3 linked regions of the Canis lupus familiaris genome follow. The protein of the gene in region 1 interacts with the protein of each later gene in a biochemical or structural test. Links are inferred from orthologs where the notes say so. Each region holds a gene or a part of one and is shown in the gene's direction. Other genes may lie near its edges.

Region 1 (3,510 bases):
TGTCAGCAGGGCTGTGCTCTCGCCACCAGCTCTAGGGGAGGACCTGTGCCCTGTCTCTTACCTTCGGGTGTTCCCACGTCACTCCCGTCCCTGCCACCATCCCAAGGTCCCTTCCCTGTGTGTCTGCGTCTGTATCTTTTTATATCCCTTTTGTATCTCCCTCTTTTTATACAGACACCAGCCAGTCACTTGGTTAGGCCCACCCTCAGCCAGGACGACCTCATCTTACCTGGATTATATCCACAAAAGATCCTATTTCCAAATAAGTTTACATTCACAGGGACTGAGACTTAGGATGGGGACCTGCCTTTTTGGGGGATACTTCATTTCCTAATATTCATTTCCATTAATGTTTATGAGACAAGGACCACATCTTTTTCATCACTGCAGCCCAAACATTTAGCTCAGTATATGATGGTTATTAAGTGCTCCATAAATAATGAATGGGTGGCCAGGTGGATGGATGGGTGGCTGAGTTGGTGGTTGGGTGTGTGAGTGGATGGTTGGGTGGGTGGATGGATGGTTGGGCTGTTGGGTGGGTGGTTGGCTGGGGGTGGGTGGATAGATGATTGGACAGCTGGGTGAGTGGGTAGTTGGGCAGGTGGATGGATGGTTGGGGGGCTGGGTGGGTGGGCGGGCAGATGGATGGGTGATTGGGTGGGTAGGTGGAAAGATGTGCAGCTGACTGGGTGGAGGGTTAGCTGGGTGGACAGGTCAGTGACTGGATCAGTAGCTGGATTGGTAGGTAGGTGGCTCAGCAGATAAATGGGCAAGTGGGTGCTGTTGCTGGTAAATGTCAGTGAACAGATTGGTGCTGGTTGGGTGGATGGATGGATGGATGGATGGATGATATTAGAGGAAAGCATGAGTAAACCCACATTTTCTATAGATATGTAATGAAGGGGGGAGTGAAGTAGGGTGGACATACCCTCAAACCTAACTTGTAACTTGAGAGCAAAATGGGTGTGTTGCCATTCTGGAAGGAAATGCGGTATTTTCCCGTACATGTGTGAAAGCTGGGAGAAGGTCATATGGCTCACAGAATACGCCATTCCCACTTCACACTTTGTAACTGGGGCTGCTTGCAGAAGAAAAGCCAAATTAAAATACCCTGAATAAGCAATTCTCTAATGCAAGAGGCCTCTTGTGGAATCTGGAAACTCAAGGATTCTAAATGCCCCATTTCTTTAGGGCATGAATTGCAAAAAGATGTGGGAAGTTCCATTTTTATCGAGAACACTGAAAATACCTTTGATCAAACCACTGCTCCCAACACGCTTAGCTTGTGCACCAGTGGAGTTGGAGGGATTCGATGTCCCACAGAGGCGCCTGCAGCCCTGGCCCCTCCACGCCCAGCAGCAGCAGCGGCGGCGCCCAGGGGTGACTGCTGTGTCTGCTTGGGCCTCCTCAGCAGGAAGCTGGGGTACGCTTTATCTAGGGCACCAGGTGTCGAGTAACTGAGGCAGCCCCTGGGGTTCCCCGAGACAAGACCTGCAAGTAGGACGCTCAGTCCAGGTTGGGTCCCACCACGAGTGATCTGGGGCTACCAGGTAGCTTGACGGCCCCGGGCGCGCATGCATTCTGTGGGTTTGGTAGGACACAAGCAGGTCCCCAGCCCTGGAAGAAAGCCGCATTGTCCCTCACTCTGCTTTGCACGGCCCGTGTTCATATCTCACTGTTGTTTGCAGGGGAGGCAGATGTGGAGCAGAACAATGGGACCCCCTCTCAGGACACAGCGGTGACAGACTCCAAGCGCACAGCAGACCCAAAGAATGCCTGGCAGGACGCCAACCCAGCTGACCCAGGGGGCCGCCCCCACTTGATCCGCCTCTTTTCCCGAGATGCCCCGGGGAGGGAGGACAACACCTTCAAAGACAGGCCCTCGGAGTCAGACGAGCTCCAGACCATCCAAGAGGACAGCGCAGCCACTCCCGAGGGCCTGGATGTGATGGCGTCACAGAAAAGACCCTCCCAGAGGCACGGATCCAAGTACCTGGCCTCAGCAAGCGCCATGGATCACGCCAGGCATGGCTTCCTCCCGAGGCACAGAGACACGGGCATCCTTGACTCCCTCGGGCGCTTCTTTGGCGGTGACAGGGGTGTGCCCAAGCGGGGCTCAGGCAAGGTGAGCTCTGAGGAGTAACTAGGGGCGCACACCACGTGTGTCCACTTTAGTTGACAAGGAAAAGGAAGGAGAGTGAGCAGGTGAGCTAAGCCCCAGCGGGGATGCTGTCCCGCTACTGTCTGTCCTCGCTGGCGACGCTCACGGGCCACAGGCGCGGGCGGGGGGCGGGGGGCCGGGTTGCTGCTTTGCCGCATTTCCACACAGCTCAGCCTCTCTCCCCTCCTCACAGGGGATGCCGGGACATCCTGAATTCCGCATCCGTAGGGGGGCCCGGCACGGGCACCGCGTTCTCGGGTCACCGGCATCTCACGCTTGGGGGCTTGGGGGCTGATTCGCTTCTGCGCCCGCGCTTTTGGGTTCGACGTCGCATTGTGCTCACTTTTCTTGGTGTCAGCGCTGCTAGCTTCGCGTTGTCTTGTAGCTTCGCGTTGTCTCGGAACAATCATGCGATTGAGGACTTTTGAACAAACTCAAGATTGAAATTCGCCTTGAGCAGATATGTCTTTTATCTGAGTTATTGAGGGGCAAGGGGTGGAGGGATCCTTGAGAGTGCCTATGAATCAAAACTGTATTACTTTGTTATTCCATTAATTTGAATAGAGAATCTGTGAGCTCTCATTATGTAATTATGTAAATGTTCTGTAGATAAAAATTGTATTGCAAGGGAAAAAGCTCCCATTGTTCCCGAGTTTCCAGCAGTGGCTCCCGGAGTCGGTGTGAATGGGGCATCTGTGGTGACATCCCATCAGGGAGCTGAGTCCCGAGTGGCTTTGCCGTAGCAAGCACATAGAGTGCTGTATGCCTTTTCCGGGTGTTGCCTGGCTGGGTCATTGTGGAAGCAGAGGGTCTTTTGGGGAAAGCCCGGGTTTATTGGCTGTGCTCACAAAACACCTAAGTTGTCACTTTTCCTCTGGCTGCGTGCGTATCATGCTGACTCTGAAAGTCTTGGGAATGTAAAGAGGCTTCTGACCTGTGGTTTCTAAAGGGGTCTCTAAAACTTGCTCAGTCTCTAACTACAGAATTTAGAATTACTGCTGATTGTGAAATCGTTGAGCGATTTGTGTTTAAACAAAGGCAGTTTTGCCACGTTGGAATTAGGGGACATGGCGGCACAGGAGCTGGGGATGTCGCAGGTGCTGGTCGTGAGGTCCCCAGCATCTGCCCCCAGGTGCCATCACTCACATGTCACTGGTCATGCCTTCTCGTGACTAACATTTGGCGCGTCTTAAGTGCTGACAGCGTTCACCTTCTGCTTGGTCCTTTCAGTGTCTGTGTTTGTAGACATTTGCTTTTCCTTTTGGGCAGTCTTGTGTCACCCCAAAATGTTGGGCATCTGACCTATTTCCAATGTTGATTTCAGTCCGAGGTGCTTTTTCAGAGCACGG
Region 2 (4,270 bases), on another chromosome or scaffold:
GGAGACGCGGGATCGAATCCCACGTCAGGCTCCCGGTGCATGGAGCCTGCTTCTCCCTCTGCCTATGTCTCTGCCTCTCTCTCTCTCTCTCTGTGACTATCATAAATAAATAAAATCTTTAAAAAAAAAAAAAAAAAAAAGAATCAGACAGACCAGGTTCCAGTCACAGCGCTGTCACTCTGTGACCTTGGGCAAATGACCTCACCACTCTGAACCTCAATGCCCTCTTCTGTAAAATGGGCTAGTTAACCTGCCCATGGGGCGCCTGATTGAGGATTCAGCAGGATTCAGCAGGAATGCCCAGCGATTCCTGAACACACAGGAGTTCTGAGCAAATGCTAGCCATTTTTGTGATTACTGACCCGGGACTGACCCGCTCGGACGCAGCTGGGTGGGCATAGGGCTCCCGCGGGTCTCATCCCTTCCTCCCAGAAAATTGGGGGTCCAGGGCAGGAAGGCCCGGGCGTTGCTCGCTCGCCGTCTCCAGTGTCGCCGCGCCCCCTAGCGGCCGTCGGTTGCCATGTCAACGGCGGGCGGCTGGGGCCTGGGGAGGCGGCGGCGGGGGCCGTTCTCTCCTCCCAGGACCGGAGGCCGCTCCCTCGGCGCCTCCCGCCTTTCCCAGCGGAGGGGCACTCCGAGCCGGGGAGAGGGCTCTCCGCGGCAGCTAGCATGGGGGGGTAAACTGAGGCACGCGACAAAGCGCTCCGCAGCCAGGTGTCGAGCTCGGGGCCCCACCTCCGAAGGCGGAGGAGGGGCCGCGGGCGGTGACGCGCCGAGGGCGGCCGGCGGACAGCGGGCGGCGGCGGCGGCGGCGGCGGCGGCGGCGGCGGCGGCGGCGGCAGGTGCGGCCGCGGAGGGTGGGAGGGAGGAGGGAGGGGGGCGGGCGGAGGGGGAGGGGAGGGCGAGGCCAGGGCACCTCCCCCTTTATAACGCGCCCCCTCCCGGGCTCTCGGGCCACCTCCTCGTCGGCTCTTCCCATCTCGCCCCCTTGCCCGGCCGCCCCGGGCCCGGGCCCGGCCAGGGAGACCCCAGGCCGCGGCTCGGGGGCCACCCCCCCGCTCGCCGCCCCGCGCAGCCCGGCGGAGGCGGCGCCGTCGGAGGAGGAGGAGCAGGGCACTGCGGCTGGCCCCGGATCGGGCGCCAGAGCGGCAGCGGCTCCGGCAGCAGCGGCGGCCCGGGCCGATGCAGCGGGACGCACCGCCCCGAGCCCCAGCCCCGGCGCCCCGGCTCCCCGCGCCCCCGATCGGGGCAGCCGCCAACAGTGGCGGCGGCGGAGGCGGGGGCAGCGGCGGCGGCGGAGGCGCCTCTGCAGCTCCGGCTGCTCCTGGCCTCCCGGGAACTACAAGTCCCAGGGGGCCTGGCGGCGGGCGGCGGACGGAAGAGGCGGGGTCGGCGCCGCGAGGCCGGAAGTGGCCGTGGAGGCGGAAGTGGCGCGGCCGCGGAGGGGCCTGGAGCACGGCGGCGGGACCCGGAGCGGGAGCAGCGGCGGCGGCGGCGGCTGGGGGCGGCGGCGGCGGCGCGCTGGAGGCGGCCATGGCAAAGCAGTACGACTCGGTGGAGTGTCCCTTTTGTGATGAGGTGTCCAAATATGAGAAGCTCGCTAAGATCGGCCAAGGCACCTTCGGGTAAGGCTGCGCCCCCGGGGGACCAGGCGCTCTGGGCCTGCACCGCTCAAATCCGACGTCACGATGCCCAGGGCCGGGCCCGAGGTGGTCGGGAAGGCCATGAGCGCCAGACGTGTCCCCTGGTTTTGCTAGGCCGCGCTGCGGCCCGCCTGGGCCTGACCGAGCCGGCTGGCGGGGAGGAGCCTGAGGCCTGTGATGGGGGGCGGGGAGGGGTTACGGAGAGGAGCCAGTGGTGGGAGCGGGCTCTCCGAGAGACGCCTGAGTGAGGAGACTGAGGGGAGGAAGTAGAGGCTCGAAGCTCCGCAGATAGCGGGTGGCAAGGTAGGGCAGTGCCCTGGGTCCCCGGCCCAGCCCCGCCCGGGGAATCCCTTTTTTCTGCCCCCCTCCTCTGGTGGGGGAGGGGCGGGCCCTGCAGAAACGGCCTGATAAAACCTCTTGGGTCTCCCTCTCGGCCTGCAGGGAGGTATTTAAGGCAAAGCACCGTAAGACCGGCAAAAAGGTGGCTCTGAAGAAAGTGCTGATGGAGAACGAGAAGGAGGGGGTGAGTATGGGCCGGGTGGGCGGGCCTGCCAGCTCCCCTGGGCTCGGGGTTGGGTTTCCACCCTGCTTCTGCTAGGGCTCTCGTCTGGAGAACCTGTGTGTCTGTGTGTTGGGGGGGGGGGGGTAGTTAGGCAATTTCCGTATTCGGGGAATTTGGCTTCCAAATTGAATTTTTTAATTCAAATGTTTTAGAGCTTTTGATATCCCACTCTTAGGTAAATACGGTTGGGGCCAGGAGGGGGAGCTCATGCCTGCAGAGTGTGCCTTAGTTCCTGAAGTTAGGAAGCCTTTAAACACGGTTTCCTTAGCATTCATTTTGCATAAGGCGGAAAGAAATTCCACTTGGTGGTTTTAAGGGAGTGGCTGGTACTCAGTTGAAAAGGAGCAGTCCCCTCCCTTGCCTCATTGTAGCCCTAGTCCAGCTTCCCAGAGACCTGCTTAGCAAGGACATTTCCTTAAATAGCTGTTTGTTTCCACCTAGTAAGTTAAATACAGGTATAGAGCTAAAACTTAAATATTGAAGAAACTGTGGAACATTTATTTAGTGACGAGTAGTGAAGTGTGTAGGTATTAAGTCCCACTGTTTCAGTTCATTGTCTCAGAGCAACTCATTGAGGGGCACATACTATTTTTACACCCATTTTACAGCTAAGACATCTGAAATGATGTCAGAGCCCGGGACCTTACTCGTTTGCTGCACCTGTGCCCCTTGATCTGGACCACACGGTTGTTCATTGGTCTGTTCATTGGTCTATAGTTGACTCGCTCACCTCAGGCCCCCTCTTGCCTTTCTCCTACCCAGTTCCCCATTACGGCTTTGCGGGAAATCAAGATCCTCCAGCTTCTGAAACACGAGAATGTGGTCAACTTAATTGAGATCTGTCGAACCAAAGGTAGGTTCTTTGGCTCCTGCCCCCCTTTACAGATGGGGAAAATGAGGCTTACTGCCTAAGGCTTTGCAAAGTTGGAAGTGGACACACCTAAATTGCCTCTTCTTAACCCAGACAAACCGACTGTGACTGCTCTTGGGTCCTTCCATCGTAGCTGTTGCTCCTCGAGGGCCTGCCACAGCACCCAGCCCAGAGGAGGCACTCAGGAAATAGTTTTCCAGTGAAGGAAGGCACAGCCGAATATCCCAGTGTCCACGGGCTGGAGGGGTAGAAGCTGTGTGGGGAAATGAGTTGCACGTGGGGTTTTTTACTTTCTTTTTCTTACTCCTCCCCCATTCTTCCCTCCCAGCTTCCCCCTATAACCGCTGCAAAGGCAGTATATACCTAGTGTTTGACTTCTGCGAGCACGATCTTGCTGGGCTGCTGAGCAATGTCTTGGTCAAGTTCACACTGTCTGAGATCAAGAAGGTCATGCAGATGTTGCTCAACGGCCTCTACTATATCCACAGAAACAAGGTGGGGGTCAGCATGGGGTAAGAGAGACCCGGGCTGGGGTGGGCCTCGGCTCCCACCGCTGGGTGGGTGCGACTGAGGGTTCCCCTTGGAAACCTGATTGAGCCCTCTTGCGCTTCCTGCAGATCCTGCACAGGGACATGAAGGCAGCTAATGTGCTCATCACTCGCGATGGGGTTCTGAAGCTGGCCGACTTTGGGCTGGCCCGGGCCTTCAGCCTGGCCAAGAACAGCCAGCCCAATCGCTATACCAACCGTGTGGTGACGCTCTGGTACCGGCCTCCGGAGCTGTTGCTCGGTGAGGACTCCCGAGCGGGCGGAGTGGGGCAGGGGCTGGGCACTTACCCGGCCTCAGTCCCCCACTGCCAGGGCTTCTTGAGCCGCCGGCCCTGGGGCATTGCGTCTCAGGAGGCCCTCGGGCTCAAGGGGCCCTCCTGGTGCGCTCTTCTTCCCAGGGGAGCGGGACTACGGCCCCCCCATTGACCTGTGGGGTGCTGGGTGCATCATGGCCGAGATGTGGACCCGCAGCCCTATCATGCAGGGCAACACCGAGCAACACCAGCTTGCCCTCATCAGCCAGCTCTGTGGCTCCATCACCCCTGAGGTGCGTGGCCAGGCTGCCTGGGCCCCTGGTCCCCACAGGACGCAGAGATCCAGAAGTCCTCCTGGCAAGGGAGGAGTGGGGAGTGAAATAGCAGGAAAG
Region 3 (4,153 bases), on another chromosome or scaffold:
ACATAAGGATCTACTCTTAGCTTCTAAGGGATTATAAAACAAACAAACAAACAAAACCCAACGTGGTTACTTACTGAAGGCTAGGAGATGTGTTTTGTGAAGCGTCCAGCTCACAGCTTCTCTGTGAAGTGAGGGGAATGGACTGGATGGCCTCGGAGGGCCCTTTCCTGGGTTTTAACAGGCTCTGATTCTGGGAGATTGAATGGAATTGAAAAGAGCCTCTGCCTCTGTGTCAAAAGATATCATTTTAAGTCTCAACTCCCCATCCATACAATTTGATTTATCCAGTCAAAAATCTTTGAACGTCTGAGCGTCAGGTACAGGGGAGGATACAGTAATGAGCAAGACAGACATGGCCCCTGCTCATCCTGTTAAGAAAATCGGAGGACACCTATAATGTGCGGTTGTCCTATGGAAGAAACCCAGCTGGTCCAAGTATGGTGTAAACTACAAAATCTTGCATCCCATCAAAAGATGGTGATCCTGCCAGGATTCCAGTTTCACCAAGTCCAATGACAACAAAATCGTCACCTATTTTGCTGTTTTTTGAGAGAAGCCTGATAGTGTATTTTAACCAAACCTGGTCAACACTGCAGGCAGCTTTCCCGCCCTTCTGTTGCAGTTCCACCTAAATGGGCTGAGGTTATGGGTGCTCACTTCCAGCACTGTACTGTCGCTGGCAAGAGGCCAAGCCCCTAGTCCACTCTCGCAGGCCTGTCAGAAACCCATTAGGCTGAGTCTGGACCTGCGGGTTCTCGGTGGCTCCAAGTCACCAGCCTCGGCCCCTCATCTGTGAAAGGCAGGCCGTATCTGCGAAGAAGCCATCTCCCACGCTACTGGGAAATGCGGATGCGGCCGTGTGTCGTCGGGCCGAGCCTCGCTCGGAGGCCACACTCCAGAGGGCTGGGGAGGGCCCCCTTGGGGCTCCATCTCGAGCCCCGGGCCGCGACTCGGTTGGCAGCAGAGCTGGCGGGGCCAGGCGACTCGGTCCCGGCCCCAGCTCCCGCACCCGCTTGCTGGGTGGCTCCGGGAAGGTCACCTGGCGGCCCTGCCGGCTATAGCCTGCATTCGGCGGGAGGGGTGCACCGTCTCCCGGCCGCCGCGCTCGTCCCTACGGGCTGCCAGCAGCAGACGGAGCGGCCGGGCACCGGGGACCCGGGCAGCAGCCGAGGGCGCCCGGGAGCGCGCGGGGGTCACGTGGGGCGCGCGGGGGCGCGCGGGGGCGCGCGGGGGCGGGGCCTGGCGCACGCGGCTCAGCCGGCGGCGGGGCGCGGGGCGCGGGGCGCGGGGCGGGCGGGAAGGGGCGGGGCCTCGGGCGGGGCCGCCGGGGGGAGGCGGGGAGGCGGGAGGGGAGGAGTGGAGATGGCGGCGGCGGCGGCGGCTCAGGGGGGCGGGGGCGGGGAGCCCCGGGGAGCCGATGGGGTCGGCCCGGGGGTCTCGGGGGAGGTGGAGGTGGTGAAGGGGCAGCCGTTCGACGTGGGCCCGCGCTACACGGAGCTGCACTACATCGGCGAGGGCGCGTACGGCATGGTCAGGTGAGGGGGCGTTCCGGAGGAGGGGGCTCGTGGGGGGGCGCGCGCGAGGGTGAGTGCCCTCGGGCCGGGGCGCTCCCAGGGTCCCGAGGAGGCGGGGGCTTCACGAGGCCGGCGGGGCGTCCCACGGCGCGGCCCTGGGGTGCTCTGGGGGAGCGGCGCCGCCTACGTTCTAAGGGGAGGGGGCTTGGGAGGCCTCAGGAGCGACCATTCTGTAGTGAAGGGAGGGGCATCGGAGTGTCCGCGGGGGAGCCGTGGGGGGACCCTGGGGACTCTGTGGACGCGGGAGGAGGCGGAGACACGAAGTATTCTTGGGGAGGTGATATCAGTGAGGACCGAGTGAAGGACCCTACTCTGGGGAAAGGATGCCTTGGATTCTCCCAGTGAGGCCTGCCAAGGAGCTGGGGAGAGCAGAGCTCAGGGCTGGGCAGGGTGGGGCAGGGCTTTGGGCCTGGGGCCAGGAGCCCGGTGACCCATGAGGGGTCCAGGGGTGCGTTCTTGCAACTTTTAGAAGGGGTCTGTTAGCTCTCTCGTCCCCACTGTGTGCTCTGGGCCTTTGTTCATCTGGGAACAGCTCTCCTGCCCAGGTGCCTGACCCTAACACCTCATCCCTTCTTTCCCATCCCTCCTGACCGCCTCCTTCTCACTGTGCCTCACTGTGCGTCCTGCACTCACCTCCCACTCCCTGGACCTGTCTTGGGTTGAAGGAGCCCAGCCTGGAGAGGGGAGGATGAGAGGTCAGGGCAACTAGAATGGACAGGGCTGAGGAGAGGGGAAGTCAGTGAACGGTCAGTCTCTTCCTCTGTTTGTGAAGTCACCGAAGGGCTGCCTGGCTGGTCCCCAGCTTTCTCCCTGGAGATCCCAGGCCTTCACAGCAGGAAGGAACCAGCATTGTTTATGACTTGGCCAGAGTCCTCTCATGCTCCCTCCCCTCCCTGCTCAGGCCTGGGTAGGGCCACCAGGCCTGGACTCCCCCTATGTAAGGCCACACCAACAACATCTCTCTGACCCTCTCAGCTCAGCTTACGACCACGTGCGCAAGGTTCGCGTGGCCATCAAGAAAATCAGCCCCTTTGAGCATCAGACCTACTGCCAGCGCACACTGAGGGAGATCCAGATCTTGCTGCGCTTCCGCCATGAGAACGTCATTGGCATTCGGGACATTCTGCGGGCGCCCACCCTGGACGCCATGAGGGATGTGTATCCTTCACCTTGGCCAGATGGCTGGCTAGGCATAGCCTCAGAGCCGGGCTGGGAGAACGTTGGCTTTCTTTCTGTTTCCTTCTTTCCTGCCACACTCCAAAACAAACCCAGCAAATGAAACTTTCCAGCAGAAAAGAGACCACAGAGTGTAAGAGGACTGGGAGGCCTGAGGTGAATCCTGGCCTGCTGTAACCAGGCTGTGTGGCCTTGGGCAAGTCTGTGCTCCATGCTGTGCCTCATTTGGGGGGAGGGTGAGAGTTGGGCTCTATGGGAGCTTTGTCTTTTGACATCTGCATTTCTGTGACGTGACCCAGCCTCTGCCCACAGACAGTTCTTGTTTAACAGATGATGATTCTTTCCTCTCTGGGTCTGCAGACTGGAAGGAAGGCAGGAAGGAAGAAAACTGCCCGTTCTGAAGGGCCTACTATGAGTGAGGTGCAGTGCACGCCAAATGCTTTGACACTTCTTATTCTACCTCCCAGCTGCTGTATGAGATGGGTCTCATCAGCTCCATTTCAAAGATGAGAAAACTGAGGCTCAGAAAGCCCCAAATCAGGTGCTGCTGTTGCTGCCTCCTAACCTCCCCCAGATGAGAACTGTCCTTTCTCTGACATTTCCTGCTCAGAGCCTCACCCCAGTCACCTGTGGACTTGCACTTCGCCCAGGGAGGGACAGCCTTGTCTTTGTTGCCCTCCCCCCCCCACATTGCTTCCCTAGCTTGTCGTCCACTTCCTGTCAGGCCCTGTTGTTAGCAGCTTATAGCACCCATCACCTCTCCCCACCCTACCCACCCCCAGCCAGTCCCAGTTCTCCACCCAAATGTGGGGATTTGTGCTGCACTGTCTGCAGCCCCCACCACAAGCTGTGGGCAGGAAATCTCCACACTCGCCACTAGCTTGCTGTGTGACCTTAAGCAAGTCACTGCATCTTGCTGGGCCTCCTCACCTCTCAAACAGCATAATCGGCCCAGGTGTCTTCAGAAGGCTCTTTCAAGGCTGATTCTAAAAGACAGCCCTGACTTATTCTTTCAGAGAGCAACCAAATGGCATTTATTTATTTATTTATTTATTTACTTAACGTATGTTTAATCTTTGTTTTCTCTTAAAATACCAAAGGACATTTACTCTTCCATCTTCTGATGTATGGCCAGGCACTCTTTGAGGAGGAGCATGCTGTTGGGAGTTTCTCCTCATTTGTCTTGCCCAAACCATTCCCCATAAGGCAGGCATTTATTTTTAAGCAAACATTTATTGCATGCCAGATGGTGTTCACACTATCTCATTTAACCCTCTCAACAGCCATGTGGCTTAGGCATTTATCATAGCAACACTAGTTCATGTTTGCTGAGCACTTACAACATGCTAGGCTCTGGACTGGGCCGGCTGGTTTCCATGGGTCACCTCACTGAGTCTTCATAA

The links. The genes of interacting proteins can lie anywhere in the genome.
Region 2: of the proteins of MBP (region 1) and CDK9, one has a biochemical effect on the other in vitro, tested with the Homo sapiens proteins (2 studies listed by BioGRID). The link is inferred for Canis lupus familiaris from reciprocal best matches to the Homo sapiens genes MBP and CDK9.
Region 3: of the proteins of MBP (region 1) and MAPK3, one has a biochemical effect on the other in vitro, tested with the Homo sapiens proteins (5 studies listed by BioGRID). The link is inferred for Canis lupus familiaris from reciprocal best matches to the Homo sapiens genes MBP and MAPK3.

Annotation. Positions count from the first base shown.
Region 1 is NC_049222.1:2,890,284-2,893,793, forward strand, and holds part of MBP (myelin basic protein), read left to right. Parts: intron 1-1,688; coding exon 1,689-2,125; intron 2,126-3,510. UniProt on the Homo sapiens protein: The classic group of MBP isoforms (isoform 4-isoform 14) are with PLP the most abundant protein components of the myelin membrane in the CNS. They have a role in both its formation and stabilization.
Region 2 is NC_049230.1:55,704,452-55,708,721, reverse strand, and holds the start of CDK9 (cyclin-dependent kinase 9), read left to right. Parts: upstream 1-1,465; 5' UTR 1,466-1,533; coding exon 1,534-1,625; intron 1,626-2,084; coding exon 2,085-2,166; intron 2,167-2,967; coding exon 2,968-3,058; intron 3,059-3,404; coding exon 3,405-3,571; intron 3,572-3,693; coding exon 3,694-3,865; intron 3,866-4,022; coding exon 4,023-4,171; intron 4,172-4,270. UniProt on the Homo sapiens protein: Protein kinase involved in the regulation of transcription.
Region 3 is NC_049227.1:18,278,798-18,282,950, reverse strand, and holds the start of MAPK3 (mitogen-activated protein kinase 3), read left to right. Parts: upstream 1-1,348; 5' UTR 1,349-1,362; coding exon 1,363-1,535; intron 1,536-2,549; coding exon 2,550-2,732; intron 2,733-4,153.